Linked DNA regions of Oreochromis niloticus. The protein of the gene in region 1 interacts with the protein of each later gene in a pairwise test. Links are inferred from orthologs where the notes say so. Each region holds a gene or a part of one and is shown on either strand. Other genes may lie near its edges.

Region 1 (11,052 bases):
CACTATTTTTCCTTGTTTTTTTGATATTTAAACTACTTCTATTTGGACTGCAAAGACAGCTTCAACTTTTGCTTTGGGACAGACATTTTATGGAGGAAAAAATCACAGAAAATAAAATAGAAATAAATTCCACCTACAAGAAAATCTGACAGTCGACCGCTGAGTGTCTTATCATTCTCGTAGATGCTGACTTTAACTTAAACCTCTCTCATAGTAATCACAGGATTGCTCCGCAGGATGATTACTTTCTCATTAGTAACCGCCACCACCAGCAAGCACAACAACAACATGAGTCATCAACATGCATCTGCTTAGAGTATCTTATGACATCATGCATATTTTTATAGTCTTTTACAGCCACTTTACAGTTAGAGTGCGATTTGATGAGCTGCTCGTGTAACAAACACTCTCGCTTCTGTGCCGGCCAAATGAGATCACCAAACTTTTTTGTTTTTCAGATTGCACAAAGATGGGGAATCAACAACTTTCAGGAGCCTCATCTAAATTTCAGATGAGTGAATCAGATGCAGAGTGAGAGATGGAGAGGCCGGCACTGAAATGTCAACAAAGCCAACTGCTCGATAACATGCCGGACGCTGCTGCTGCTGCCATCTGCATGACAAAACTGCTGCACTTTGTCTTTGTGTGACTTTGTGTGTTGAAAAACAGAAGTTGCACTTTAATTCTGTGCACAGAGCAATGCCACTGATGTTTAGATGGACAGATGATCATGTACATGTACCGACGCCTTGATTTTAGTGGGTATACGTATGCTGTTCATGTGCTCTGAGTATTCGATCAGTCAGCTCTTGGTCTTGTTTTAGCTGCATCATAAACACAAAGTCATTTATAATCTAAGGTCTTAAGTTTTTATCAGAATAATCAAAATTGAGGTTAAAAATGTCTTAAAATTCTCATCCTAACAGTTGCTGTGTCTTCTCTTTTTAGTCATTAACTGGTTTCCACAGTGGGAACTGGTGTGCATCTTGCTTGAAGAGGAAGAGGAAAAATGTAAAAATAGAAATAAGACAAAAAATGCTGGAAGATAAAGGTCATCGTATGAACACACTAACCTGTATTTTTCATGATAGAGACTATTTTACCAACTCTGTGGTGATTTGACCTTTAAACAGGCTCAAGCTCTCGGAGCAGGGCTCTCTGCAACTAAGCTGAAAATAAAATTAAATGAAGGTAAAAGAAGTTTGTTTGAGGGTGGAAATGTGAATTGGACTGGGCTCATTTAAAGTATGAGATGGAAATAAGGGGTGAGAATCACAAATGAACCCTGGGAAAACAAAGATGGGGCATTTATTTCAGCAAGCAGTGTTTTATTTTGAAAGCTGACCTGATTATCTGTGTTGTTCATATTTCTAACTTCATATTTAGATAATGTGTAAATTGTAATCAGCTCATTTAATTATTTTCTTGAGCTGGCTACCATCCTCTCCACCCTGAGCTGCTTCTTCTTCTTCATCGATACACATTAGTTGACTTCAGTTCTATTTAACAATGATTCATTTTATAAGTTTTGTAGTGGTGATGCTGAGGGGATTCATTTAGAAAGCTGTACGTTTTATTATAAATTTCAATGTGTGGGGGCAGTGAATTAATAAAGTATTGAAGGCATAAGTGATACGACATATTGGCATGTTTCTACTGATGTTGTGACCACAGAAAGTCAGTGACATCGGTGACAGTCGACTACATGTAAAATAACTGCTGCAGAAACAAAGTGCGCAGATCCAGACTCAAACTTTCCCAAACTTTTAAGCAAGTGACTGAAGCAACAGTGAAGTGCACCATGTGAGATGTGACAGTGTGGTAAACACATCAAAGGGTTACCTAGGCAACCAGAGATAGGAATGTCCAGTAGTGCTTAATTGTCAGTAATGTGCTATGAGCAAGTTTAAAGTGGATCTATTGAGGCTGTTTAACCAGTATTGTTCCTACTGTTTGCTCTATAATGTCATTTCTCATGATATTTACAATATACGAGCATCACCCACCTGCTGTTTAAACCTTCTGTTTGCAAGGGTCGGCCAGTTAGAATAAAGACTGGTTAAAAGGAGAGGTAAGAGAGCGAAAACAACTTGGTTTAGTCAGACGTGAAGTGGCGTGAAGTGCAAACTGTATGCCGTAACTGTCCTTCACCTTCTGTCTCATGTAGACGGTGCCGAGCGGAGCCACGTCACAGTCTCTGTGCTGTCCGAACACTTTGCACATGGAGCAGGTCGGCGTCTGGCAGGACAAGCAGTAGATGTTGATCTTCTCGTCTTCATGTTCTTCACACATGAGCTGCTGCTGCTGCTGCTCTGGTTTCATGCTAACAAGTCTGCAAGACACAAAAAAATATCATGTTTAATGTAAGGATTGCTCCAGGAAAATTTGGATGTGGTCATAAAAGCCTGGTGTGTTTATATAACAGGTTTCTGTCAGTATCACACCCATTTGTAGTCAGTTTTAATATTTACCTTAACATATTAACAGTGAAAAAAGTATATTTTAGGTCAATCTTTAACTTAAAGCAGCCTGTAATTAAAATGTCTTAGACTCCTTTACAGTAAATATGAATAAGGTTGTAAAAAATGTCTTAAATTTAACATCCCACCCCTGTAGATAGCCTGCAGCAGCCTGCATCTGCAAGGGCAGTTGCACAGTACTCCCTAAAGCACATAGAAAGTTCAGATGAAAACCAGTGTTTCACTTACAAAATAATCCAGAAGTAGGTCTTTTTTTATAAGCTGTTAGCCATCATTTTAATACCCTTGAAATGAGACTAAAAGGAAACTTGGCTAATTTGTAATCTCATTCCCATGCACAGCATGCACAAGACTTGGCATCATTGTCTGTATTGTTGAAGCAGCTTAGTTTACTTCTGTTATCACTGACGTATTTTGACGTCAGTGGATGATGGAAGAACTGCATAAAGAGTTTGGCAGAGGTGGCAGCTGTCTCTTTGCCACCTGCAAATCAGGAATGTCACTGCTCACTTACAGCTCAGCTGGTTTCCTTTATTATAGCTTTAATATATACAAGAATAGTGTATGTATATAAAGGTCATTATCATTGCTGTCTCCTTTATTTTTGTGCGTGTGATTTGACATCATTCTCCTCCCAGATTGATCACTGCCAGACATTTCATTTAAAAAAAGAAGCTGACACGGACATGGATAATTCTGTAGCTTCCGAGAAACAACAGCTAAATTTCATGAAATAAACTGTCCTTTGTACTCTGACGCAGGCGTCTCTGACAGAAACGATGATTAAGTTATGATAATATTTTTCACGTGTGAAAAAATGATGAGAAAACCACAAGTTACAAAAGATTTGTGACCATCCGTGTGAACAATCACATCTATTTTAGCCCACACGGATAACGAGGGGACTCCTGTCGCTCTTCTTTTTTATCACTGACTCATTCAGCTTCTATTCTGAGAGGAAGAGACAAAGTTACACTGAGGATGATCTGTTGTAGTAAGTGTGGAGAGCAGATGTAGTAAAGAGGCTGCTGCTTGAAACGCTTTACTTTTTATACAAAGTGCATGCGTGTGGAAACAACTGTCATACTATCATTTCTACAGTGCTCGGGTATTGGTTATACTCAGGTGGAACAGTTACAGTATCAGGTTCCACATGAGTCATGCTGGGGAAATATTTGATAACTGATTCTGGTTGATACACTCATAGAAAACGACTCTACTTTTAGATCTGGTTCAGAATTTGGGTTTCTTCAGCAAAAATCTAAATAGTAAAGATCTTTCTGTCTACCTATTATTAAAAATCGAATGTGTTACTGCAACAATCTGTAACAATCTGTTACTACAGCGAAAGCATCAGAAGTTTCTTTTTCTCATGTATCAATACAAAAGACACTCTTCATATTTCCAACATGTTTCCTTGTGCACACAACACATCATTCACCTGTAATCATCAACCTGTGCATCAAAATGTATTAATATACCAATAAAGAAAATACAATAAAATATAAAACCGACACGTGTCTCAAGACTGGCTAACATATTTTAGTCAGTACTTCAAAACTGAGTGACTTGTGCTTGATTTTGTCTTTAAATATGTCTCTGGGAATAAAGGAGAGACAAATCACCCAAAAATGAACGCTAAAATGTTGTTTATTTGATTATGATGATGTTGATTATGTAAGCATGCATGGCTTTGTCATTACTGCTAAATATACTTCATATCAGCCACAATAAACAAGAACACAACATACAGTATATGCATACATCACCTCTGCTCTGCTGACAAACATGCAAACCCACAAACCTGCTGTAATACAATATGATGCTGCTCTCTGCAGGCAGTCACTCATTACTACAGCTAAGTGCACTCTCGATAAACATGTTAGTGTTTTTAAACGATGAACGAAGAATTTCAAGTTTTACAAACAGTATAATGTTTAATTTTTATGATTTTTCTGATTACTTAGATTTGTATTAATCTCATTACATAATAATAATGTAATATAAAATAAATTAGTTGGATGAACTTGCACTGATTAACTTTTGTGAGTTTACCCGGATTGGACGTGGCAGTTAGTAGTGAATCAGGATTGGTTTAATGAGATAAATGTTTCTGAGGAAGACACAGGAAGGTGAGTCCCATAGTAACAACAAGAAATATAAACAGAGGTTGTCTTGGGTGTCCAGTGGTACAACTACTTGACTTTGGTTTAATACAACTAACAAATATTACTGGAAAGGTGGATTCAAAAACTGAACATGCTGTTTCAGATTCTCTCCCTTCAAGACATCTCTCTCCTGATTGGCCGGCTCCTGCAAACAGAAGCTTGAATAGTAGGTGGGTGTGGCTTCTGAGTCTGGGCCACTGAGTCTGGGCCTGAGATGAGCAGATTATTAATACCCTCTCAATGATGTCATACAGAAGCAAGAGAAGAAAAAACTGTCTCAAACTGAGTATTTTATCTCCAACATACCATTGTATCTGGTATTTGCAAAACAACAAAAAAAACAAACAGAACAAGCCTAACTCTGCTTAGACTTCATTAATTAAGAGGCACAGCTTCATCAGAGCAATCCTGTGGCTGTATTGAGACATCGCTACAATGCTAGTGTGCCCCCTCAAATATGTACATGTGATGATTTAAAAAGTTCACTAAAAGAAACATTTGCCTGGGTTACTACCCCTTCTTTCAACCCTCCCTCTCTGGGTCATTCACCTGGAGGACTCCTGCTGTCTGTAGATGTCGATAATGTTCTCCACCAGCAGGTTCCTCTGGAGGCCATAGACTCCATGGCGGTCGAGCACCACCTCATGGCGGCACGACGGACAGCGAAAGCGACCGCCACTGGCCGTCGCACTGGAGGAACCACGGGAATGCCACAGAGGATTAGCTGACTGGATTTAAGAGGGGGGGAAAAAACAAACAACAAACTGCTTCAGACTGCTTCACTGGTGGATTTCTGTTTGGTTGCACATATGAACCCAGTATCAGTGAAGAGAGAGGAAGACTCTGCTTTGACTTTTATTAAACTGAAGAATCGGTAGCCAGATGGCAATAAATGTGACCCACATCTGCAGTTTTCCACAGGCCACATTTGGCCTCGACTGACGGTGCTGACTCACCCTGAGTCAGCACCGTCAGTCGAGGCCTCAGCTCAGCCACAGATCCACTTTCCATGAGCCAGATGTTAGGTGTGCCGTGACATCTGGCCATTTAACTGCAATGTTTTGTGCCCCTAAATTAGATTTTTTAGGTCGAAATAAAAATATATTTGCATATAAGAAAGAAAAAATATATATCTATAAGAAAGAAAATATTTTTACATTAGAAAAAGCCTCTGAGATAAGGTTGTTGGTGTTGATAAATGACTAAATGTGATTTCTAAATTTCAAAAGCGTGTTTAATATACAGATACTATCTGCTAACATGGGAGTGGACTAGGACAAAATAAATACTGTCTGTTTGGGTTTTCACTCGATCACATTGTAGCTGTGAATCTAAGGTCACTGCAGACTCTGAGGATGTGTAGATAAAGGGGAACTCCAACTAAAACCTTTAAAACTAACAGTGTAATCTCTGAATACTGAAAAACCCCGAAGGCTTCTTCTTCTTTTCTTTCAGTCTCACCTGGAAGATGTCATTGGCACACTTGCGGCAGAGGTTGTGCTGACAGGGCAGGATGACCACAGGTTTGGAGAACATCTCCAGGCAGACGGGACAGATCAGCTGCTTTTCCAGATTCTCCATGGTGGCTCCGCTTCCAGCACCGGGCCCAGAGCTGCCTGCTGTCGGGTGCTTAAAGCCGAGAGCAAAGCTCATCACCTCCGGCAGTGAGGAAGATGTCAAAGACGTCAGGAAGCTCTGCCCTTCTACTCTCAAATGGCTGTAAAGTTAGTTGGTTTTAGTATTTTCCACTTAGCTGTTACGCCATTTCTAACCACAGTTGTCCATGTCCACCGCTTTATGCCACAGCCAGCTTGCCTAAAGCCCAAGTAAAGACCCTCCCACACACCTCAGGCCCACAGCAGCCAGCCTGTCCCTCTGTTGGTATTTTTAGCTCCTCAGTTTGTTCTGGCTTGGGTTACTGTCTAAACTGCGTTCCTGAAAGTCTGGGCGTGGCAGGGGATCACAGCAGGGTTCGGTATCTGGGTTCAAATTATTCTATTTTTATGAAGTCTGATACTTCAGAGGGGATCCTGGTGACATAATGCAACCTGTGACAGCAAAGTTTCAGGTGATTAGCATGCTGGCATAAACAGCTTGAAGCATTACTCAACTTAGATGTCTGTTTGTTCCTGCAGAACACGCCGAGTGCGCAACATCTCTGTTCATCCAACTTTCTGACTAATCTCACCAGGAGATTAGTCAGAAAGGTGGAGTATTTGTTGTGCTGTATGTTTCCAACAAGCCTTCTTCTTATTTGGAGCAAAGCAAAGTGTGTACTCGGGTGAAAATATTGTTTAATCAAAGATATTTAATATTAAAACCTCTAAAAACAAACTTCAGTCAACAAAGCTTTGCTAAATAATGAGCCGGGTACAAGTCAACACATTTAAAGCATTTTCTTTTCCACGGCTGATTTAAGTTTCTTGGCGACATTCAATTCAGTAAGAAGTCAACATCTTTTTAAAAAAATCTTACCAAAATGGTTCAACTGTTAAAAGAAATCCTAATAAAGTTAAAATTTTAGTTTGGTTCTTTGCTTTTTTATATTAATTTTCCACTCTACTAAATATATAAATGTAAGGTGTGCGACTGAGTCATCAAGCATGAGAAGCAGAAGAAGAAAAAAGCTGAACAGAATCGCTGGCCAAGCAGCTCCAAACAAACAACAGCTCACAGGACATTTAAACTCCAATATAAATACAGAAATATCAGTCAGAGAATAGATAACTGACTCAAGAGCACCATCTACTGTTTAACCTCAGCACCCTCAGTCTCAGGAGAAAGCATTTATTGAATATCTGTGTCAAATGTGCAAGAAAACCTCAGATTATATCACATTTATACAGTAGCTTGGGCATCAAAGGATGGGACAGCTGAGGAATTTCTTTTTGGGGCTTAAACTTAACAAACTATAACTATGATGCAACTACAACAACATCATATTATGGACCACTCAAGTCATTTTAACTAATATGAGGGCAAAATGTGATCAGACAAATCAAGTAATGTGTTGTGATTATTAATATTTAATACTAAAGACGTGAAGTTTATCTATGCAGTCATGTTAAAGAGCAGAGGAAAGCTGACTACTGGCCTAAAATTAAGAATAGTAAAGTCTATAAATGTATGAAGCAGTCTGAATCTGTATTTCACTGTATGCTGCACATTGAGGCAGGACATGTTCTTTTTGTCACTGTAGCTATGAATTAACTGTTGTACAATCACTTTTATGCTAGGCTCTGACCTGGTAAACTATAATTGATTACTCATGCAGAACCTAAGCCTGATCTCGTCCACAATGTGACCCAGAGACCCCTTTGTGGCCTTCAACCTGTCAGCATACAGCAGTGAGGTCTGTTCCCAGGGACAGACAAAAAAACAAAAACAAAACCCTGAAGTATTTGCTAATCAACAGAATGGAGTTGGCAGGACTAAGCTGCTAATGGGCTAACAGGACTATTAATAGTCCGGAGCGGAGGGCTGCTGCAGAGTGAGCCAAACATACAAACACAGGGATTCAAGCTGAAGACCTCCGTGTTACCGTTCTGTGATTACCTTCCTGTCAACAAACTTTTCATTAATTAAAAAGAAAACCCATCCTGCACCCTTAAGAGCACCAAATACAACTGGGCTCTCATTCATTTGTCATATAAGCTTTGCTTTAGTGTTTATAAATGTGATCATGGTTGTCAACACCAGCACCACCACACATGTTTTTCTCTTGGTACTGTTTGCAGTTGTTTCATATTGATGGCTCTGATGACAATGAATTACTCTTTATTATTCACTAATGGTTCAATTACTTCTTTTTTCTGTATTTTCAATTATCACCATTTTTTGCAGTATTATTTTAAATTTACTGCATCGGGAAGAGCCTGAAAAACAAAACAAAACACCACCACCACCACCACAACAACAAAAAGCCAATATAACTTAACACAGATCATGAAGCGAGCCTCTGTGGCGACCCCTTGTGGCCAGGGAGCAAGCTGAAAGTAGCTTTATGCATCTTATTTTCTTAAGTGGTGCTAAAAAACTAAAAGTGTAACCCTTGACATAATTTCCTAAACAAGCACAAACATAAGACAAAGTTACACACTAGAAGTTATAAAATCCTGTTGTTTTATTTGGTTTCTATAATAAGTTTTACATGTTCGTCCACAGAGAACCACAACAGTCAGCTCTCCTATTTATCAATCCCCAGTTTCATCCAAAAATGTCTTTCTCCAATTCTTCTATATTTGTTGACTTTCTTTTACATTTCTTCTTCTTCTTAATAAAGATGAATGCAACATTTTTTTTCAACCACTCAGCTTATCCACAAAAAGAAATTAGCTCAGCGCTAATTGTTTTTAGCATATGCCAGTGGTTGTATTACCAAACAGTGCATGCTGACATGTTAGCGTCAAACATTCAAGTAAGCAATTCTGTTAAATCCTTTCATAAAAGATGTCGCCTAATAGTAAGAATTAAAAAAAAAAACAAAAAAACATTTTGCTGTTTTATGGTGTTGCTTATAACACTTAAAAAAAACCAAAAAAACGAAACAGTATGACTGAGTGCTCCATCATCATGTTTAAACTCTAATGATGTAGCGTTAAATAAAAATGAAGTGCTCTGTTTCACTTTTGGATATTATTATGGATTAAAAACAACTATGACATGAAATCAAATGACCTTCAAGTCTGCAGACGGTTTCCCTCAGAAACAAGCTGATATGTAAATAAAGAGCAGATATGAAGTGACTGGTAAAAATTTATCAAAGCTGGTTTGTTTTTTCACAATATGGTCGTACACGTAGCTCTGCATTCATTTATTATAACACACCGAGTAATACAGAAGAGTTTTAGAAGCCGAATTTAGATGTGACTATAGTTTTGGCCAGCACAGAGATATAAAACCTTTAGAGCAAAATTTATGTTAAAAAAACTAAACAAAAAAAACACAACAACAAATTGCATTAGTATTCTACACAGGACTATAACGCTCCACATGACAACAACTGAACAGCTTCCACGTGATGTCAGTAAACAATGTTTGAGGTTTGAAAACGTTAAAACAATCTAAAAATAACATGGAAGCAAAATATCATTTTTTTATTTAAATTAGAGACTAAGCAGTAAAAAAGCCAAGTATTAGTAACATCAAAAAAAATAAGAGGACATATAGGAGTCATTGCTAAAAAAAAAAAAAAAAAAAAAAAAAAAAAAAAAAAGACCTTAAATGAGGTTAGTGGGATTTTTTTTGCTTTATCTTCTTTTTCCTTTCTTTTGTAGAGAGGGGAAAATAAACAAAAACAAAATAAACTTACAGAAAAATAATATTGGTATGTGAATTTAAATTCTGTTTCGACTCACAATTTCAAATTTTTACATCTCCATTTTAAAATATGCACTACTAAAGAAAGAGTTGAACATTTTGGGAAATGCATTTAGTGTTTCATCAATACCATTTTAAAACACTAACAAAATTAAGCCAGTGAAGGGCCTTAACACGTCATTCATTTAGTGGCCAACAGGGGGCAGCAACTCTGGTTTCACAACTGTATAGATGTCTAAAGGAAATGGCTCTACGCTCTTTTAATCTGTGAGAGTTTACAGATTAAACACGTGGCCTCGATCGCTAGTTCCACACATTAATTATGGGTCCAGTTTGTAAGTGGTGACCTCGTTAACAAAACAGAAGCTGTTTTACTTTGTAATTGACAAGTAGCTAACCTATGATTGTGCAATGTCCTTGGTTTTTTAGTCAGACCCACCCCTCATTCATCATGCACAGTTTCAAATCATAAAAATGGCAAAAACAGATAAACCCCTCGGCTCAAGCCTTCATTAACCCAAAGGTTGACACTGAGGTGGCGACGCCCATCTTTTATTTACAGTCTGTTGGCAAAAAGCATTGAAGCAAATACATTTATGAAACAGATTTCCCAAAATGTTGAACTACTTCTTTAAAAAAAAAAAAAAAAAAAAAAAAAGGTTTCTTTGTCATTTCAGAAGACGCCCAAAGCCATCTATTCATCCATCCATGGAGATGTAGCAGAATAATGCTTAACATGATGTGTTCTGAGTACACTTATGACGCAACCCATTGTATTTTTGAGCTTTTTGTTGAAGTAAATTGCTTATTTATTGGGCTTCATCTGCCTTCCATTACAGCTTTTGAGTCAAGGAAGAAAATCAGTTTCAGACAAGTCAATAAATCAGTGCAAAGTGGATGATTCATGGAAAATGCTGGCAGCTCAAACTCTCACCAAAATCACATTACATCATCAGTAATCCTCACGTCTCAGCCTTAGATGGCATTAAATCTATCAAATCACCCGTAGGGAAAGCAATTAAATAATTTGCCATCTAAAAGCAATTAGCTTTGTCATGAGCCGATCCACTGACATTTTGAGCTGG
Region 2 (8,780 bases), on another chromosome or scaffold:
TATTATTAAGTGCCCATAATGTACAGCTTTTTTTTTTAGCCAGAAAAAAACGTCTTCAGCCATTTGCCGCTGAAATGCTGCATAAGTGCTTTCGTCAACACCAGGAAACTGACAGCACTGAGAAGGATCTCTGCAAGACTCCCTCCTCACCTCTTCTCACACACACATGCTCTGCTGGAAATCTTAAAGCCTATGACGACATGCAGATGAGAGCCATAAAACTTATCAGCAGGATAGGCTGCCGAGGCTTTTCTCTGTTTGCTCTGTGGCTGCAGACCCCTGACCTGTCTTGTCACTGGATAGCTGCCAGCTTAATGCAACATTGGCAGAGCTGCCACCTTTCCTACCAATTAGTCCGTCCATTTTCTGAGCTAAAACACATCGCTGACCTATTTTTAGCAACACAGGTTGGGAATTTGCGGAATTTTACACCAGTCAGGATAGAAATTATTACTATATATTATGTTTATATGTTTTATTATACATTATAGAAGTAATGTAAAATCCTCGGTGTGTCCTGCCAACAAAAGGAAAGACACAACATATTTTAAAAAAATCACTGGGTGCTAAAGTGATGATATAAACTAGAGATAGTAATTAACCATCATTTAAAATATATATATCTATATCTATATCTATCTATATATAGAGAGATAGATAGATATAGATATATATGAATGAGTAGAAGAATGGGTGTGCTTACACTTACCACCATGTGTGGGTCCACAGTGTGGCTTGGACCCATCACACAGTGACTCAGGCTGCTCTCCATTTGAAAAATTAAATGGGAGGTGGGGGGGGCACTTGGCAAAATAAAATGAGGCCCCCAGGAAAAAAAAAGAAAAAAACATGCTGAGCTAAGCACAGCTCCTACAATCTCAATCACAAAGGAGGAGGTTGGCGCACTGATGTAATGGCTGCCGCCATGCTGCTGCTGCCTTGGCAGGGGAGGAGAGCTCGTCAGCACAGTCCTACTAATTCAAACCCCCACCCCCACTCCCCACCCAACCCCATTCTGGATCAAGGGTACATCAGATATCATTAACAGAGAGAAAGAGAGAGAAAAAAAATGGGGGAACGGTGGCCAAGAATACAGCGAGACGCAGGGTATTGGACATAAGGCGTTCAGTGAGCATTTCTCTGGCTGCAGAGACACACATCATGGAAAGTGATAGAATCCCTTAGGGAAGAAAAAAAAATGTCCATGAGAGTTTCTGGAGCTGTGTGGAAAGCATGTGTATCACTGTGTCTATGCTAAACCCCACAAACCTGTCAGCATCTGTCCACCTGTAGAGCTGCTGCACAACCATGTGATATACATTTGAAAAAAGGAAAAAAGCATTTGAAAGCAGTGCTTTTCTCCCATATCTCCTATAGGATTGGATTTTAATAAGTTAAAAAAATACTTGAAAAGCTCATGAGATGATTTTAGAAAAAAGAAAAGTAAAACCATTCCTGCAAAGCTAAGTTGTAGTAGATTTTTTTTATATAAGATAATCCTGTAAATCCTTGTCCAATGTCTAATGATGCTCCCACATAAAACAGGATCGTTTTTTCATTTTCTTTTCTTTGACCTTCACGGACTGTTGGGTTTTAAGGCACAAGAACTATTTGGGTAACGGTTAACTTTAAGGAAAAAGAAAAATGGCGTTTATGTATTTTCTGGTCAGGATGTTGAGCTCCACTGCAGCTAAAGGTAACAACGCTTGTGAACGCTTTACAGCCACCTCTTTTTATACCCTCACCTAAATTTTAAACACAATATTTTCTGTCTCGCTGCTTTTGGGGCGAAAGACAGTCTCAAATCTTTTTTCTCGTAAATTAGCCATAATCTTTTTCTTTATTGGAAAGCAGCTGAAGTGGTGACAGCTAACAAACGTTACAATATATCACTTTTAAAGTAACAATCAGTAATAAAAATTAAGACAATAATTAGCTAAACTTTAACAGATATTTATACTGTTAAAAAACAATGAGACCTCAGTTTCCTTTGGCTTCAAACTCTGACCCATGTGCCATACCAGTGAGATGGGTCTCAGCTGTAATTTGTAATTTAATCTAGACCATTTAACCAAGTAGTCTTGGTGCCTAAACCTTAAAAAACAACTAGAGAAACTGAATTTAAACAGATAAAAAAAACAGGACACAAAGGTTAAACAGTCCTGCGAATTATGCCACTTCATCTGCCTGCTTGTATATGGTTGAACATTGTGTGGCTGATTATGTTATGCAAAAAATATTATTAATTATCACTTTATTCCATATTAACAGTAATTAACTATTAACTTGAGCCTAATAACTATCAATACCGTTCACTCATGATAGCTGTTACAAAGTATTTCCATTTTGGAAAATGGGCGATTTGTGTTTTACAGCAGAACAACACAAAGTATGAAATGCCCTCAGAGAAAAAGTCCAGTACAAACAATGGATCCGTGAGGATTTCTCTGAACGCCACATTTATTGACCAGCAATTTCTGGCTTTTACCCGTCTAATGGAACAGAAGCTGGGACTGTTTCTGTGGTGCTCAACAGAAAGCACACAGGATACAACCTCATTACCTGTTACCACTACACCACAGCAGAGGGACATTTTACTGGGCTCTAATAAGGAGCAGCGAAATGATTATATTAGTACAGTTTTTTTTTTTTAAAGATATGCCATCCTAGGGATTTACAGTTCAAAAATGGTGTGAGTGCCATTTTTTCAACTGCTAGCTGCTAAAATAGTGCTGAAAATTATGTTCATTCACATGTTTAAAGGATTAAAGGGGAATCCTGCCAGTTTTAAGAATTTTCTTTAAAGTACTCCAGTCTTTTCTGAGCATGGTGTTGCTTCTGTAAAGACAGAAATCAGCAAGAAAGGTACTGAGCTGGGGAGTAGCATCAGCAACTTCATCATAGATAACAAAAGGCTGCTGACTTAGTCAAACTGGGACTTCTCACATAAAATGTGTATTCTAAGACAGTGTAGTGGATATAATCTGCTTTACTTTCTACTTTGGTTTAGTCCTGTTTATTATTGTCTGTAAGGAGAGACAATTCATGCACTGCAGATGAAAAGTCATGGGTTATTATGGTTTCAGGAAACAGACAGGTATTGACTGGAGTGCTCTGTGACACAGAAATAATATATGTGAATAACTGAGATGGGTGGCCTTTACTAACACATGGACTTCTTCTGTCTTTGTAAAAAATTATTTTCAATTTTCACAAATGTTATATTACTACCTGTACTGTTTTGACCTTATAGTAAATAGTAAATGGAATCACACACATCTGGGAAAACTATGAATGTGGGCAAAAAAACAAAAAAAAAACCCTTCAAATCTAGCTGGTAAGGTTTTTCATCATTAAAGTGAGTGTGCCTTTAGCGAAGAAAAAGAAACGAAAGTAAAGATATCAAACAAGCACCTACTATTATGTCTATAGGACAATTTTATATTTTCTTCTGGATTTGTATGGAGAAACAGGTCTGCGACAGCAATAAGACAGCGTCCCCTACGCAGTGACGCCTCGGTTCCTTCTTCTAATTTACTGCTGCCGCCTAGTGTCCATGCTCAATCACTGCAACCAAGAGCTCACTCGTAGAAAAGAATATACAAAAACGGATTTCGTTAGTAAGCTAATGTACACGGCAAGATGGTTCATTAATTCGCACAGATCAGTTCATTCCACAAAGAGCTCTTGTGTTTTTTCCACAGTTTCAGTTTCTGCTTTCAGTTCACTTTTTCATATCCAAATGGGTTCTCTTTTCACGATCCTTCTTATGATTTAAGTAAAAAAAAAAATACATTGCAATTGATTAGTTTTGGATTTACCTTAACAAATTAAAACGGTTGTTTTATTTTGTCTTATTTGATTTTATAATATTTGCATATTTGCATTTGTAGAGGCAAGATTTAAAATACACTTCTATTTTATTAATTTTGTTTTTTTAGATATTTTGTGAGTGTTTGTGAATGCTTTTTTAAAAAATAAGAGATTGGACTGTTTTTTTGTTGTTGTTTTTTTTTTACATTACCAACCAAAAGTTCACTCAGTTGATCACTGATTTGAAATCGGGGTTCTGTTGGTTTCCCTGACGTCCTGTCAGGAAAATAAATCAAGTGAGGATCACTGCGCAGGCGGCGGGGACGAGGCACTTTCTTAAGCAGAGATGGTGCGTATGAATTAAATGTATAACTTTTTGGTCAGTTTCATATTATACATCAGACCCGAAGCCTAAATAAATGACACGGTATATTTTTACGTATAATATTTTCTCAAGAAATCCTGAAAGCAGGTCCACTTACTCCCACAATGCTAACATTAGCTGGCTAACTTTTGACTGCACTGTGAGTAAGCAAAACACTGCACTGCTAGCGTTAGCCGCACAGTGTTCAAAGAAACAGCCTTCACGTAGCCTATACTCAGCGCAGTCTGCCTAAGTAAATATTCAGTTAGCTCCTATTAAATGTTGTTAAAACATGATGAGTTAAATATTTGTTAGATGAATCGAGAATTGGAAGGCTAACGTTCAGCAGCTAGGCTGAGTTAGCATCATTGAAACTAGCGATGGAAGTAGAATGTCTTACTTTCGTTTTCCCTTAATCCACTTCACCGGCCTTTCGGCTTTAAAAGCTAGAAAAAGAGAAATAATTATTTTGTGCAGAAATGTATCACTGCGAAGGCTGTGATGATTCCGCAAGTCTCCTATAGTAAATGTTAGTGATGTTCTGTAAAGGTTACTTAGCTAATGACAGTTAGCCGTCATTAAATTCTAACATGTCAAACTTTTGTATGATGGGAGCGTTTCAGAGCGACATGGTGTATGAACATGAGTGCATAGCAATTGCAAATCATTCTTGTCCCCACAAGTTAATAAAAAAAAAATACATGACAGAAACAGGGTGAAATACACAAAATCCAACGTTTTAATTGTGACGCTGATGAGGCGATAAAAGCAGAAATCCCCATAACTTTTTTTTAACCAGCTCTTCGTGTCTGTTGTTATTTGGCTTGACGGACAATTGAAATCCATTTAGTATTTTATGATTGCCATTTACCATGCTCCCAGTATTTATGCTGCTGTCTGGTCCTAATCCAGTATTAAAGTCAGTTTGGTGTTTTGTGTTTCGAGCCAGTAAAGAGATGCGTGTTTATAAATAATTTAATCACGGTGGTAATTTAAAACCTGGCTCTGGAAAAGTCCAACCTGCAGACAGTCTCTTTTGTAGTTGCAGTCTTCAGTCCTTGAGAAACAGTAGCTAACCAAGAAAACTGCTTATAATGCAAGACAACTATGTAAGTTCAGCTCCTGTGTGTGATATTTTAATAACAGTCTTTTAAGTGACGGCTTGTTTTTTGTTTGTCTTTAGTTCCGCAACCAGTACGACAACGATGTGACCGTATGGAGCCCACAGGTAAGTCATGTCTTTCACTGACTAAGTGCATCATTAACACTTGATAGCATGATGAGTGAAATAAGTGTGTCCATCTGTGAACAGGGGCGTATTCATCAAATCGAGTATGCCATGGAGGCTGTGAAACAAGGGTCTGCAACTGTAGGGCTGAAATCCAGAACACATGCAGTCCTGGTGGCACTAAAGGTACAGTCATGCAGTGTTTGATGGTGATCTTATGACATTGCAGTTTTTTATGCCTTGGATAAATGCCAGAAAATTGGTCACTATACAGGCATTGTTCCTGATGCAGAAAAACAAGTCTGTAGGTTTTTATTTTTTAACACACTGTCACCAAGTATCTACACAATTATACTTCTTTCCTGAATATTTTGTGGGTCAGTAGTATGTTTCTGAGTGTCTCTAAACATATAAAAAGGATTTCCTTTGTGTCATCTTGCCTACTTGTCTTATTTATAGAAAAGGGGGGGGAAAAAGCCTGTTTCTTATAATAGGAAGTATATTAAAGTACAGCAGCCAAGAAAACCTGCAACAGGGTATTGGTGTCAAAGCACAATGACTGAATATCCACAACTGATGTGTCATGTTTCTCTTGCAGAGAGCCCAGTCTGAACTGGCGGCCCACCAGAAGAAGATCCTCCATGTTGACAACCACATTGGTATCTCCATTGCTGGACTGACTGCTGATGCCAGGCTGCTCTGGTAGGTAACAGTGACGCTGATGGTGCAGACTAAGTCGCTCATGATTATAGTACATAATATTCTTAAATACAATTCCTACACCTTCTCTCCCACAGTAACTTCATGCGTCAGGAGTGCTTGGACTCCAGATTTGTCTTCGACAGGCCCCTCCCAACGTCACGTCTTGTCACTCTTGTTGGCAGCAGTATCCTCTCTACTGTTATCAGTTATACTAATATATGTTATAGCATGTGTTTCCTGTGTGAGTGAGAGAAACTAGACTGTTTTCTGGTTGTCTTCATGAGAGGATTAAAAAAAAAAAAAAGTGAGTCACATGATTCTTGACTTAAACTGCAGAAACCCAAATCCCAACACAGAGATATGGAAGAAGGCCCTACGGTGTTGGACTCCTTATTGCTGGTTATGATGTGAGTTTGTTTCACGCCCGCTCTTTGTTAAATATCTGCCTGGATTCATGCATGTATAGCATTATCTGCAGCTGAAAGACTATAAAGGTTTCAGTAGTCAGTGCAGTTGATATTTATTTGTTTTGTGTCAAACAGGACATGGGACCTCACATCTTCCAGACCTGCCCGTCAGCAAACTACTTTGACTGTAAAGCCATGTCCATCGGAGCGCGTTCCCAGTCTGCACGCACCTACCTGGAGAGATGCATGGATAAATTCTCTGACTGTAAGATCCATTTTTTAATTTTTAACCTTCTCAGAAGCATTTACATTTAAAGCAGTTTAAACTGCAAATGAACACTTATCCTGTTGTATTGTTAAATAACTAATGTAATTTGGCCATGAGCATCTTGAGGCACTTTGGGACATGTTGAAATATTTTAGTCATCAATGCAGTTTTACAATATAAACGTGAATGGTCACACTGACATGTGGGTTTTGTTGTCAGGTAACCTGAATGAACTGGTCCAGCATGGCCTCCGTGCTCTCAGAGAAACCCTCCCTACTGAGCAGGACCTCACTACCAAGGTACCCCAGCTCCCGCCACACCCACCTGATACGGCACCTTCTTACACACTCAGCTAGCACAAATCTTGCCTTTAATGAGACATGAGCTTGTGCAGCACAGAGGCAGTTTCTCAGCACTGTGCCCTTTTTCTTTCAGAATGTTTCCATCGGCATTGTCGGGAAAGACATGGAGTTCATCATTTATGACGATGACGATGTTGCCCCATTCCTGGAAGGGCTAGAGGAGAGGCCACAAAGAAAGGTACTGCAAAGGTTTATCCAGTCCAGCTCTGGAGAAACATTTCCTTGTCACTTCATGATAGTATACTATCTAAGATGAAACTGAAAAAATAATTGTGTTTCAGGTTGCCCAGCCTGCAGATGAACCTGCTCCTGCAGAGGCCTCTGATGAGCCAATGGAGCACTGAGGCAGCATGCCAAACAGTGGTCTGCTTCCTGTAGATCCCAGACAACCACATGATACTTAATTCAAGTCAACAGAGAAATATTTAGAGGGGGAAGATGTTGTGATGTGCCACTTGCTAAACTGTTAATCCAAAATATTCTCTGCTAACATCAAACAATGTGATGTTGCTTTTGTATGGTTAAATTGTACCATGATACAAGTAATAAACTCCTTTTTGTTTTTGAATGCTGCTTCTGCTGCTCTCCATATTATTAGCTGACTCATGGCAAGTGTCGATACTTCGATTAACATTGCAGGCATCACAGAAGAGTCTGACTCAGTGCCATAAAGTAGATACTATAAAACTAAACGGCATAGTTTGACGACCAGATTATACAGGAAAGTGTGTGTGAAACATCTTCACAGCATGTTAATCACTGATGTGAATTCTCAGGTGCTTTTACTCACAGTAGGTTTGTTTAGAAGACACTTCTTCATATTAAACACTGAGGAGAAGAGGACTCGGCTAACTCCTGTCTAATTAAAAACCCGAGTTTTGTTCATTCTTAAATTAAGAATAGTGTCATTTATTGCATTTGCTCACACAAAGGAATCCAAGAGCACAGTAGGAAAACTGTCAAACAAAATTTAAAATGACGGCAGTTTAATGGTAGTGTTTCATTGCTGACAAAGGTGAGAAGAGGCACAAACATCCCAATATTGTCCACTAGGTATTAAGACAATTTGCATTCCCATTTGGGGTCTGATTCAGTCTTACTTGCTCTTTTTATTTTTTTTATTTTAGATACACTTCATCTTCCAGTACCAGATGTAATAACATTAGGTCCCCTTAGAGCAGGGGTGTCAAACTCAAATACACAGTGGGCCAAAATTCAAAACTGGAACAAAGTCGCGGGCCAACATTAATATTTATTGAAAAAAAATCTTCCTCCAGATATAAGAATGAATCTTTTCTTATGGACTCAAACAAGTTTTGCTGAAAAACTGAATATGGAACAAGCAAAGCTTAATACTAAACAATATATATATTAGCTGTATAATACCAGTAGGCCAGCATTAATAGTAATTTGGTATGGCTTCGCGGGCCAAATGTAATTAGGCTGCGGGCCAAATTTGGCCCGCGGGCCAGAGTTTGACACCTATGCCTTAGAGGAACAGAAACTGATGCCTTCTGACCTTCGTGACAGATCTAACAAACGGTTTTGTGTGCATACTCTCCACCTTTTCAGCACATCACCAGAAATCCTGGAAGCGTGTTATGTTCAAATGTTAAAAAATCTGATGAATTTGTGC
Region 3 (9,116 bases), on another chromosome or scaffold:
CTCTTGAGCCCAGGCAGAGTCGAACGACGTGGTGTCCTGGTCCACCAGGTGGGTGTACTTTGTGCGTCCAGACCGACCAAAGTTTTTCACCTTTGCAGGAAACAAACCACAAAAGATCAGAGAGCCCCGTAATTGAAGAGAAAAAGAAACTCCTTTTGCTACTGCCTGAATAAGATGCACTGTTATTGTCTCTACTGCTCTGTGCAGTACGAGAGGTTCTCTCAGCCTCCACTGCTGTCACCACGTGTGAGAGGAAGTCAGTGGGACAGCAGCAGAGGACACACAGAGGATAATGTGACTCAAGTCAAAGACGACTGTTCAGTCATTAAAGCTTCCAAACAAGTACCGATTTATGAAAACGAACGAATAAACAGACGCAGATTAACAATAAATATCTGCAAGTGCACCAAGTAAGCAGGTCCAAGCTAGCCGGAGTGCTGAAACACCCGCAGCACACAAGGACATTTAATTTCACAATATAGCTGTCCAAATGTCTTCAGAACAACAAGACACAAATGTAAAAACATGGTTAAGTGTTTACATCCTCCTCTCTAAGGTTCTAACTAGATTCTGAGAAACAGCACACATACCTGCAAACCATTTAACCTTATTTTTCATATGAACACAATGCTGTTATAACAATGTTCAGTGAAACAGTCCAGGCTACGATAAAGATGAGAGAAAAAGCAAACGCCACCGACCTGCATAACTTTGGGTAAGATGGTTTTGTTGAAGTGATCCTCCAGAGTAGGTGCACTGAAATCTCTCTTGTACACGTCCTCCTCCTCGTCCTGCAAAAGAAAAACATATCCTGACACTTAGACTGATCACTGACATCATCAGCTGATATCCTGCAGCTTGGATCAATGTTCACAGGGACAAGCCAGAAGGTCAGAGATGTTACGACTATAAAAACTAAGAGTAGTTTAAAAAGCTCACTGATACAAGAGCTTGTTGTTGGGGACAAACAGTACAGGCCTGGTGCTTGTTCAAAGTTCACATCCACAAGGATTACAAGCATCTCCTGCACTGTGTAGAGTGCATATTTGCTGCTTTTTTCAGACAGTAAACAGCCCAACACCACCAGCCCACTGAAGCTGTGCATCCCTGTGTGCATGCACATAGCATACACAAAATATCCAACATGTACTCAACTTTACTGAAAATCATTTTATCATCCGTCTCTGGTTCATCAAACCAAACTACAGTCACCTGACCTTTGGCACACAAATCCAAATTAATTCATTTCTAAGTGAACTAACTTTGAGCTTTACTCATCTATATGCAGGTAAATGCATAAAAAGTATTTGTTGCAAAGAGATCCTCCTCAAATAGTTTGATTAAAAAATACAAGAAAAGGGGAATGGAAATTGAGCTTTGTTAGATGTAACAAATGTTTTAAGGTTTTTAGGAGAAACTCAGCAGCACGGAGGAGCAGCAAAGCCTTGGGTTAAGCTGGGACATTTGGGGGAAGCTCAGAAGGTGCAGTAAGACTGAAGCACTGTGGTGACTCACCATGAAGAAGGCTCCTCTGTGGTAGTATTTCTGGAGGAACTTGTATTTGCCTTTGGTGGCTTTGTTGGTGACAACCTTGCCGTTGTTGCGCAGCTCGGCCCTGCGCTCCTCCTCAGTCAAGCTGTGGAATCTCTCGATTTCAGACTTCTCCTTCTCGAAGCTGAGAACAAACAACAGTCATGAGCTCTTCTCTGCACGTTCCTTTATCACAAATTCATTTTCAGTCACTCAAACTGGTGTTTACTCACGCTTCTCGTGCCTCTCTGTCCCTCTTGATGCGCTTCAGCTCTCTGACCTTCCAGGCTTCGTATTCCTCCTCCTCGTTCTCTCCATCGGTGTCCAGAGCGTCCAGAGCAGCCAGCGTGCGCCGGTTCTCCTCAAACTCCTTCTTGGCCTCTTCCTCCACGATCTTGAGGGTATAGCGCCGTCGCTCCTCCGCCTGCCGCTTCGCTTCGGCCTCCAACTCTCTCTGTCTCTGCTCCTCTGCTTCACGCTCTGCCACTGTGACTCTCTCTTTTCTGTGGAGAAAACAGTTCATGTGCTCATTAATGTTAAGGGCCTGGTATTCAGGCCGGTGTCGTTGTGATCTGCTTCCATCTAAAACACGAAGCGCAGCTGCTTTCTTCACCGCAGAGCTGCACGAGGGGCGGCTTTAACAGGAATAAAGTGTTCAGGAGTTACTTTGACAGAAATGTTCAGCTCTACTCGAGCTGTTTCCAAACACATTTTTGAGTGTGAACAGCTCCAGACTGTCCTGTATGTTTCCAAATGACATGAGTGTTCTGGATAAATGAGACAAAGCACACTTGATAAAAGACTCATCATTCACTCATCACTCAGAATATGTTTTCTCCATGTTGCTAATTTTTGTTCCTTCAGAAATGCAAGCAGACACTTCCTGTGTGTCTTGATCTGTCAACGTTCTGCACAGAAAACTGACCGTCTGCGACTGATAAATATGGTCTTTGGATTTACGTTGTTCTACAAACTTTCATCTCGTACTTGCGGATGAAGACAGGTTTGAGCCGCGGCTCTGCTTCGTCCTCGCTGTCGGTGTATTCCTCGTATTCAGACTCTGACTCCGACTCGTCTCCTGATTTCCCCTCTTCCTCCACCTCCATGACCTCCATCTCTTCATTCTTTCTTTCCAAGGCTCGCTGACGCATCATTGCTCGCCTCCTCTCGATTTCCTGTAAGTGTCAAGAAGAAAAAAACATGTCTCACTACAAATAAGTGAAGAAAAAAAAACTTTTGACAAATGTAAGCATTAAGGCACCTCATCATCCACTTCTTCTTCCTCCTCCTCTTCATCTTCACTGCTCTCCTCTCGCTGTGGGTGCCACGTGCCTTCATCAGAGTCTTCACTGCTCTCAGCCACAACTTCAGGCTCTGCTATCTGTCTGTGTCTTGCAAGCCTGAGGACAAACAGGCACAAACCATGTTCACGTCAGCTTTCCAACATGATCGTTTTGGTGAACTTGAATCAGATCGTAAACGCTGGGCGCCACCTCTCTTCCACGTCCTCAGAGACACGGTTTAGCAAACGCCTGAGACGTGGATCAGAGACATCCTCCTCCTCCAGCTCCACCTCTGTCTCCATTTCTTTTCCCTTCTTCACAAACTGGAAGTCTTCTTCTTCTTCATCAGACGACTCCATCGGCGCGTAGTCAGGGCGTTTACCCGACACGTACCTTTTCACCTTCACCTTCTCCATGGAGAGCTCACCTGGCACATGGAGAGACACAATCCTCTTAATCACACTTGAACCTACGTAAAGTTCTCCGATTAGGAATACCAGCTCAGCAGAACCACAAATAATACCAACTTTGAAGTTTCTCATTTTAATCTTTAGTTAAGACCAAGTAATAAATGTCATCATTTATTACTGGTAACTAAATCATTACATGACAAACTGATCACCAGAAAACTCATGCCTTTCTCACAGGACATGCAAATCATAAAAAATCATCTTAAAAGTACCTAAACATGAATTTATTTAATATTATACAATACTGGTAACCCCAAATGAATGATTACACACAGTTTGTCTTTCAGTTATTATTTAATTTACTTCTAATATCCAATTTCTTTGTATATAGCAAATCTAATAAAAACCTTTAAAAAATACTTTTATCAATCAACGAGTCCACTGACATGAAGCAAAATTTTAATTTAGAACATTTTTTTCTTTTTTAAGTAAGAATTAAATCCAACTTTTCTTAAACACACGTGACATCAAACTGAGTGTATTTACATGTATATATTAGTGCTATTTCTTACATTTGTAAACTCTGCAACATATTGTGTTACTTAATTAGTTTAGTCTGTTGCTGTTACTGTCTTGGAGCAACTGTAACCCACATAACTTCCTTAGGGATTAATAAAGATTCCGATTATGGGGTCACTGGTCTTTAGGTAACTGCAATGCCTGACAGTGCTGATGTCTGTGTATATACGTCCTCACTGACTTCAGGCCGCTCGCAACACGCTGATGCGGACAGTTTTTTTCTACTCTTGACTCTGTATTATGTCACACAGAGGGAATATCCCCAACTGGGTCATGTCACCTGCTCTAAAAACCTTCTGTTTAGGAAGGCCAGCCAATGAAAACCTTTGGCTTAAAGACGCAGGAGCTCGTTTAACACAGAGTGGACTGAAAGTTTATCTGATGTGTAAATCGTGCAAACCTCCCACTGAAGCACCCCACAATAAAAACGTGGCTCTGTTTTAATGCAACTCCACTCGAAGGCCGCAGGTAGTGCAGGATCCCATCAGGTTTATTGAGACCCGTTATCCAACTACAACTATGTAGACGAAGATAATTTTGTTAACACTTTCCCTCAATTGTTAAATTGTTACACTAATGTTATTAAATTAAGTTTAAAAAAAAGTACAGTCCATTTTTTCCAGCATATATCTTCGTACATAAATTTACTACCAGCTTTGCTATTCCAGCTAACTAGCTTAGCACGCAGCTAGGACCCTGCTTACTAACCGCACAAGCTCACCTTTCTCATTCCGGACCGGCACGGCTCCGGCCGTGGACTGGATCGGTGGAAGCTTCATGTTTAGGGCTTCGCGACTAGACATGACTGCCCGGTCCACGATATGCAACCGTACAAAGATTAAAAAAAGGAGTATTTCACTTTGACAAAACGAATTCCTCGTCGTCGCTCAACTCAAACGGAAGTTTGACACAATCGGCGAACGGACAGGAAGTGAATTTGCTCCGACAGTTCTTCCGCCGGTGAGCGATGACTGTGTTCATTTCACTTTAATACAGAAGATAATGTCATTTAGTATCCCCAGAAGTGAGGCATTTGGTTTACACGGGAAACAAGTTTGCGAAAAAATGATGAAGTTAACTTTCTAAAACAGGGAAGGGTGAAAGTGAATGTTAATATTCTGAAACGTTTTAGTGTAACAGCGCCATCTGCAGGCTGCTGAGCTAAACATTCATTCTTTTTGTACGAATAAATTCAATTATTTATTGTTTTCTTGGTTAAAAAGTAGAATAATTTCTAATAATCCGATATGTTTTAAATGTGGACATGTAACATGTAAAGGAGTTACTAAAACTATTAATGAAATAGAGATATCAGGTCGATTCAAGAGAAAATACTCAAATGAACTACATCTCCTTGTTGTTTTATATTAGCTTATTTATTTTCTTTTAAAGAAAATTACTGAGCATAAAATGTATAGTGATAGTGTGCCAAATTGTTTGCTTTGTGTAATGCAGTCCTGCAAATGTGTGTTATATCTAAATAGGCTTATTTTTAAACGGACCATCACAGTGCACAAGCTACAATTGCCAAATGAGGAGTAACATCTTTTACTTTTTAACTACTAAACACCACAACATCAGACATTCAACTTTCCTGCAAAACCATGCACAGAAAATTAGACACTGTAATGTAAATTCAATTTGATTTATTTTGAATATTTACAAACTAAAAAGCATTTTATTTGCATTTCTCCACTGTGTTGTGGCCCTGCTGTCAGAGCTGGACTCCTCTCTCTTTAAAGAGTTCCTCCAGCTTCTTCTCCAGAGCTGAATTGGTTCCTTTCAGGCCTTTCACCACCTCAGAGGCCCACAGGAAATACTCCTGCACCCGCTCAGCTGTCCAACCTGCCAAACACATTCAGAAACATAACTGAACAACATTTGATATGTTGTCTTTTGCACTTCTGCCAAATAAATAAAGTGTTCCAAAGCATTTCATCCTCTTCATTTTGTATTTTTATTTATTTTTTTACACAGCATTCCATTTTGTAGCAAACAGCACTGTGTCCAGAGAAGTACTGACCAACAGGAGTGCAGCGGTTCAGATCCCTCAGGTTGTACAGTTTATCAGCCAGTTTAACCAGCTTGGCCTGTTGGCTGCAGTGAGGTGCGTGTTCCACCTGTAGACGCTTCCTCTCCTGCTTGGGCAGGCTCTTGTCATCCGTCACCTCCTGAACAATGCGAGCCACGGTTACCCCAAATTTAGCTTCCAGCTCTGCGGGGGTGGTGTCGGTGTCTTCTACTGTATCATGAAGCAGGGCGGCCTGCAGAGCGGGAGGAAGCACATGGGATTACTGATGTGAGAATGCGTGCACGTGACTGTGACTAACAGTTAACAACTGATAACTCACCTGCAAAACCTCGATGTCTGTGACGCCCCCTTCGTGGCTGAGGATTCTCGCCACTCCTTAAAAGCACACACAGAAAGTTGTGAGTAGCAGAGAGGACAGTAAACAAGAAGCTTCACTGTTTCCAGGCTGCTAAGAGAAGTCACTTATAGAACAAGAAAACTCATTTATAATCAGACATTTCCTCTCTGAAGAGCTCCTTCAGAACTTTAAGTTTCTACACAACATAGCTCATAGCTCTCATCTGTAAGTAGGAAAATAAAACTCACACAGAAGAAGTGGACGAACCACCAGAAACTTCCTTTACACACAGGGACAACAAGGAGGGAGCTTAATCACTGGCTGCCCATCTATGGCACTCCTGCCTAACACCAAAATAAACGAATCCACTGAACTGTAGTCTCAAAAGATATTTTGAAACAATCACTAGCTCCTCTTTTGCATAATAAAGCAGAATGTCTAACGAAATGTAAAAATACAAATTTGGGGGGGGAGAGGGTTAAAAAAACAAACAAAGACAATATAATAAGAATAGATACATGGAAAATTAGATGAGAGGGAAAATAATTCATGTTTTTCAGTATTATTTTTGGTGCATTTCTTTATCCTTTCAAAGCTTGTCCCTTTAAGTCCCCCACAGCTCTAGTGGTCTGGAGCCCTGACAGGAAAAGCACTGCCAAGTGCTATCATTAGCTCAGCAAAGAAAAACGGAGCAGTGGGTAGTGGGGGAGATATTAGGTTCGTTGCAATCTGCAGCCTCACCACTAGATGCCGCTAAATCCCCTGCACACAAAAAGCCATTAGTTTTGTACGCCTGAACAAAAAACCGGATCAATCGTCCTCCACCTCCAACGTGAGACTATACACTGTGTGCCGAGCACACAGCCGAAAAATAACGTATCGCTATTACACGGCAGGCTATTATCACCAGAATCAAAATAAAGGCACTCGTGTTAATTGAAATATAGTTTCTGCAAAACTATTTGTTGCCATAAAATGGTAAACACTAAATATTAGTGATATAGCTGCAGTATGCGAGTAAACCCTGATAACTTTACTGGTTAGTTCTGATCGTACCGCTCCTTTCGGCTACTCCCTCCTTCCACGGCTTCCGGTATCGTATCAGTTAAACATCAGAAACTTTTTTTTCTTTTTCTTTTAAAGATAAGAGTGAGAGACTTCACGGGTTTACGTACAGGCCGTGAATGCATCATACTACCGTAAAAACACACCTACCTATGGGGTGATTTATATACGGCGTTTCCTCTGGATCTTTACGTTTCTGGTTGCGGTGTTTCTCTGCGGCAAATTGGACAGTTTCTAACAATAAAGCTGCATCTGAGTTCATGGTGTAAAAATCACGTCCTGTCAGGTCAGTAACAGAAAAACCGCGTTGTTAGGTGAATTAATTTTCAACGTCTTTCGAGCAAAACTGTGGCGGTCCGTTCGTATTATGATCCGGGGGGAAACAACTGGTCGTGGGATCATTCCAGTTATTTAGCTACGGAAGCAGGTAGCTGCTAACATAAGATATAAGATAAAGTGTTATGTTTCAAAAGACATAAACGGTCAAATTTCTGGCATTAATTTTATATTTTTGGGGGAAATTTTTACACACTAGTGTCAGCGTATTCGATACTTTATATCTTCATTTATGTGATGAATGTGATTTTAGCTTTGAAGCTAAGCCAGCAGGGAGGATAATCACAGCACAGATCTCTGACTGTTCTATATGTTTCTGCTGGTTTTTGTATCTCCATTATTAAACATTATATTTGTATATGAGTTATTTATTTATTTTCTTTGTTTATGCCAGCCGTGGATGACTGAGTGTTGTCCGGCCTCCGTCGTGTGTCCAGCATGGCTCACAGTGCCAGGAGAGACTCCCCGGAGCTCCCCGACTTCTCCATCCTCAAGAGGCTGGCCAGAGATCAGCTCATCTACCTGCTGGAACAGGTAGGAGCAAGTCACAGCTTCTGCTGAAGACATGCTCATCAGTAATATGACTGGCATGTATAGCATGCATATGGCACTGTTCTTCTTTTTTGTTTTTTATTATTATACTTTATCATTTGACTGCACACCCATTCACGAGCAACACGTCTGTTGGTATCGCTCAGAGCACAGAGGACCTCACTGGCCACCACAGACTCATCAAACATCCTGAGCAGCGTCCGGTGGATGTTGAAGGACCTCAGTGATGTCAGAAAATAGAGACTCCTTTGGCCTTCTGTGCTTTTAATGAAGTCTACTGTATTTCTTGTTTGTTTTATAGAATTATAACTTGTGTTTATGGAGATAACAATAAACCGTTTGTCTGGCAGTGGCTTTTAAAAGTGCCCACCAGCTCATGGAGTGATTTCTGCTGCAGAATCATGTCTATTTCTAATGCAGTGCTGCTGGAAAGCCAAAGATTGCAGCCATTTGCTTGAGATTTTATGTTGAGAAATATTACTCCTATATGCTGAACTATACTGTCTTCACATGAAAATTGTCCCCACCAAACTACAGTTTACTTTTGCCATAGGAGTCAGTTTTACAGTTTAATTTTATTTAATTAGGCAAAAATGAACATTGTCAGAATCAGTGGAGAAAGTGTAGAAACTGTGTGCAGACTAAGCCATGCACGCATTAGTTTGTGATGTACTTCAGACTCGGTGAAGACAAAAAACAGGAACTACAACAAAACAAGGGATGCTTTTTGTGTTGTGAAGAGCAGATTGTCTTACAAGCCCCTTTCTTGTGTCACAGCTGCCCGGGAAGAAGGACCTCTTCATTGAGGCAGACTTGATGAGCCCGCTGGATCGTATTGCAAATGTATCAACACTAAAGGTGAACCGCATCAGCTGCTGCTCTCCTGCCTGTTCTGATAGGGCATCTCTTCAGGATTACTGCACTTTCAGCAGGTCTTTAAAAGCTTTTTGTCTCCCCCCTTTTTCTTTCAGCAACATGAAGTGGACAAACTG

The links.
Region 2: the proteins of trim54 (region 1) and psma1 interact in binary tests that used the Homo sapiens proteins (3 or more experiments, as listed by UniProt). The link is inferred for Oreochromis niloticus from reciprocal best matches to the Homo sapiens genes TRIM54 and PSMA1.
Region 3: the proteins of trim54 (region 1) and mfap1 interact in binary tests that used the Homo sapiens proteins (3 or more experiments, as listed by UniProt). The two-hybrid records come from large-scale screens. The link is inferred for Oreochromis niloticus from reciprocal best matches to the Homo sapiens genes TRIM54 and MFAP1.

The regions. Positions count from the first base shown.
Region 1 is NC_031980.2:21,565,693-21,576,744, forward strand, and holds the start of trim54 (tripartite motif-containing protein 54), read right to left. Parts: upstream 6,489-11,052; 5' UTR 6,302-6,488; coding exon 6,110-6,301; intron 5,377-6,109; coding exon 5,198-5,376; intron 2,333-5,197; coding exon 2,152-2,332; intron 1-2,151. UniProt on the Homo sapiens protein: May bind and stabilize microtubules during myotubes formation.
Region 2 is NC_031972.2:42,851,610-42,860,389, reverse strand, and holds psma1 (proteasome subunit alpha type-1), read left to right. Parts: upstream 1-4,036; 5' UTR 4,037-4,159; coding exon 4,160-4,162; intron 4,163-5,360; coding exon 5,361-5,405; intron 5,406-5,489; coding exon 5,490-5,591; intron 5,592-6,003; coding exon 6,004-6,107; intron 6,108-6,202; coding exon 6,203-6,291; intron 6,292-6,443; coding exon 6,444-6,514; intron 6,515-6,649; coding exon 6,650-6,779; intron 6,780-7,001; coding exon 7,002-7,081; intron 7,082-7,217; coding exon 7,218-7,322; intron 7,323-7,425; coding exon 7,426-7,488; 3' UTR 7,489-7,712; downstream 7,713-8,780. UniProt on the Homo sapiens protein: Component of the 20S core proteasome complex involved in the proteolytic degradation of most intracellular proteins. This complex plays numerous essential roles within the cell by associating with different regulatory particles.
Region 3 is NC_031965.2:1,536,714-1,545,829, forward strand, and holds the start of mfap1 (microfibrillar-associated protein 1), read right to left. Parts: upstream 4,745-9,116; 5' UTR 4,606-4,744; coding exon 4,524-4,605; intron 3,241-4,523; coding exon 3,024-3,240; intron 2,931-3,023; coding exon 2,792-2,930; intron 2,706-2,791; coding exon 2,518-2,705; intron 2,034-2,517; coding exon 1,764-2,033; intron 1,676-1,763; coding exon 1,516-1,675; intron 792-1,515; coding exon 702-791; intron 91-701; coding exon 1-90. Other genes in the region: hddc3 (guanosine-3',5'-bis(diphosphate) 3'-pyrophosphohydrolase MESH1), read right to left, coding at 5,517-5,647, 5,826-6,066, 6,154-6,209, 7,387-7,498; vps33b (vacuolar protein sorting-associated protein 33B), read left to right, coding at 8,011-8,106, 8,902-8,982, 9,096-9,116. UniProt on the Homo sapiens protein: Involved in pre-mRNA splicing as a component of the spliceosome.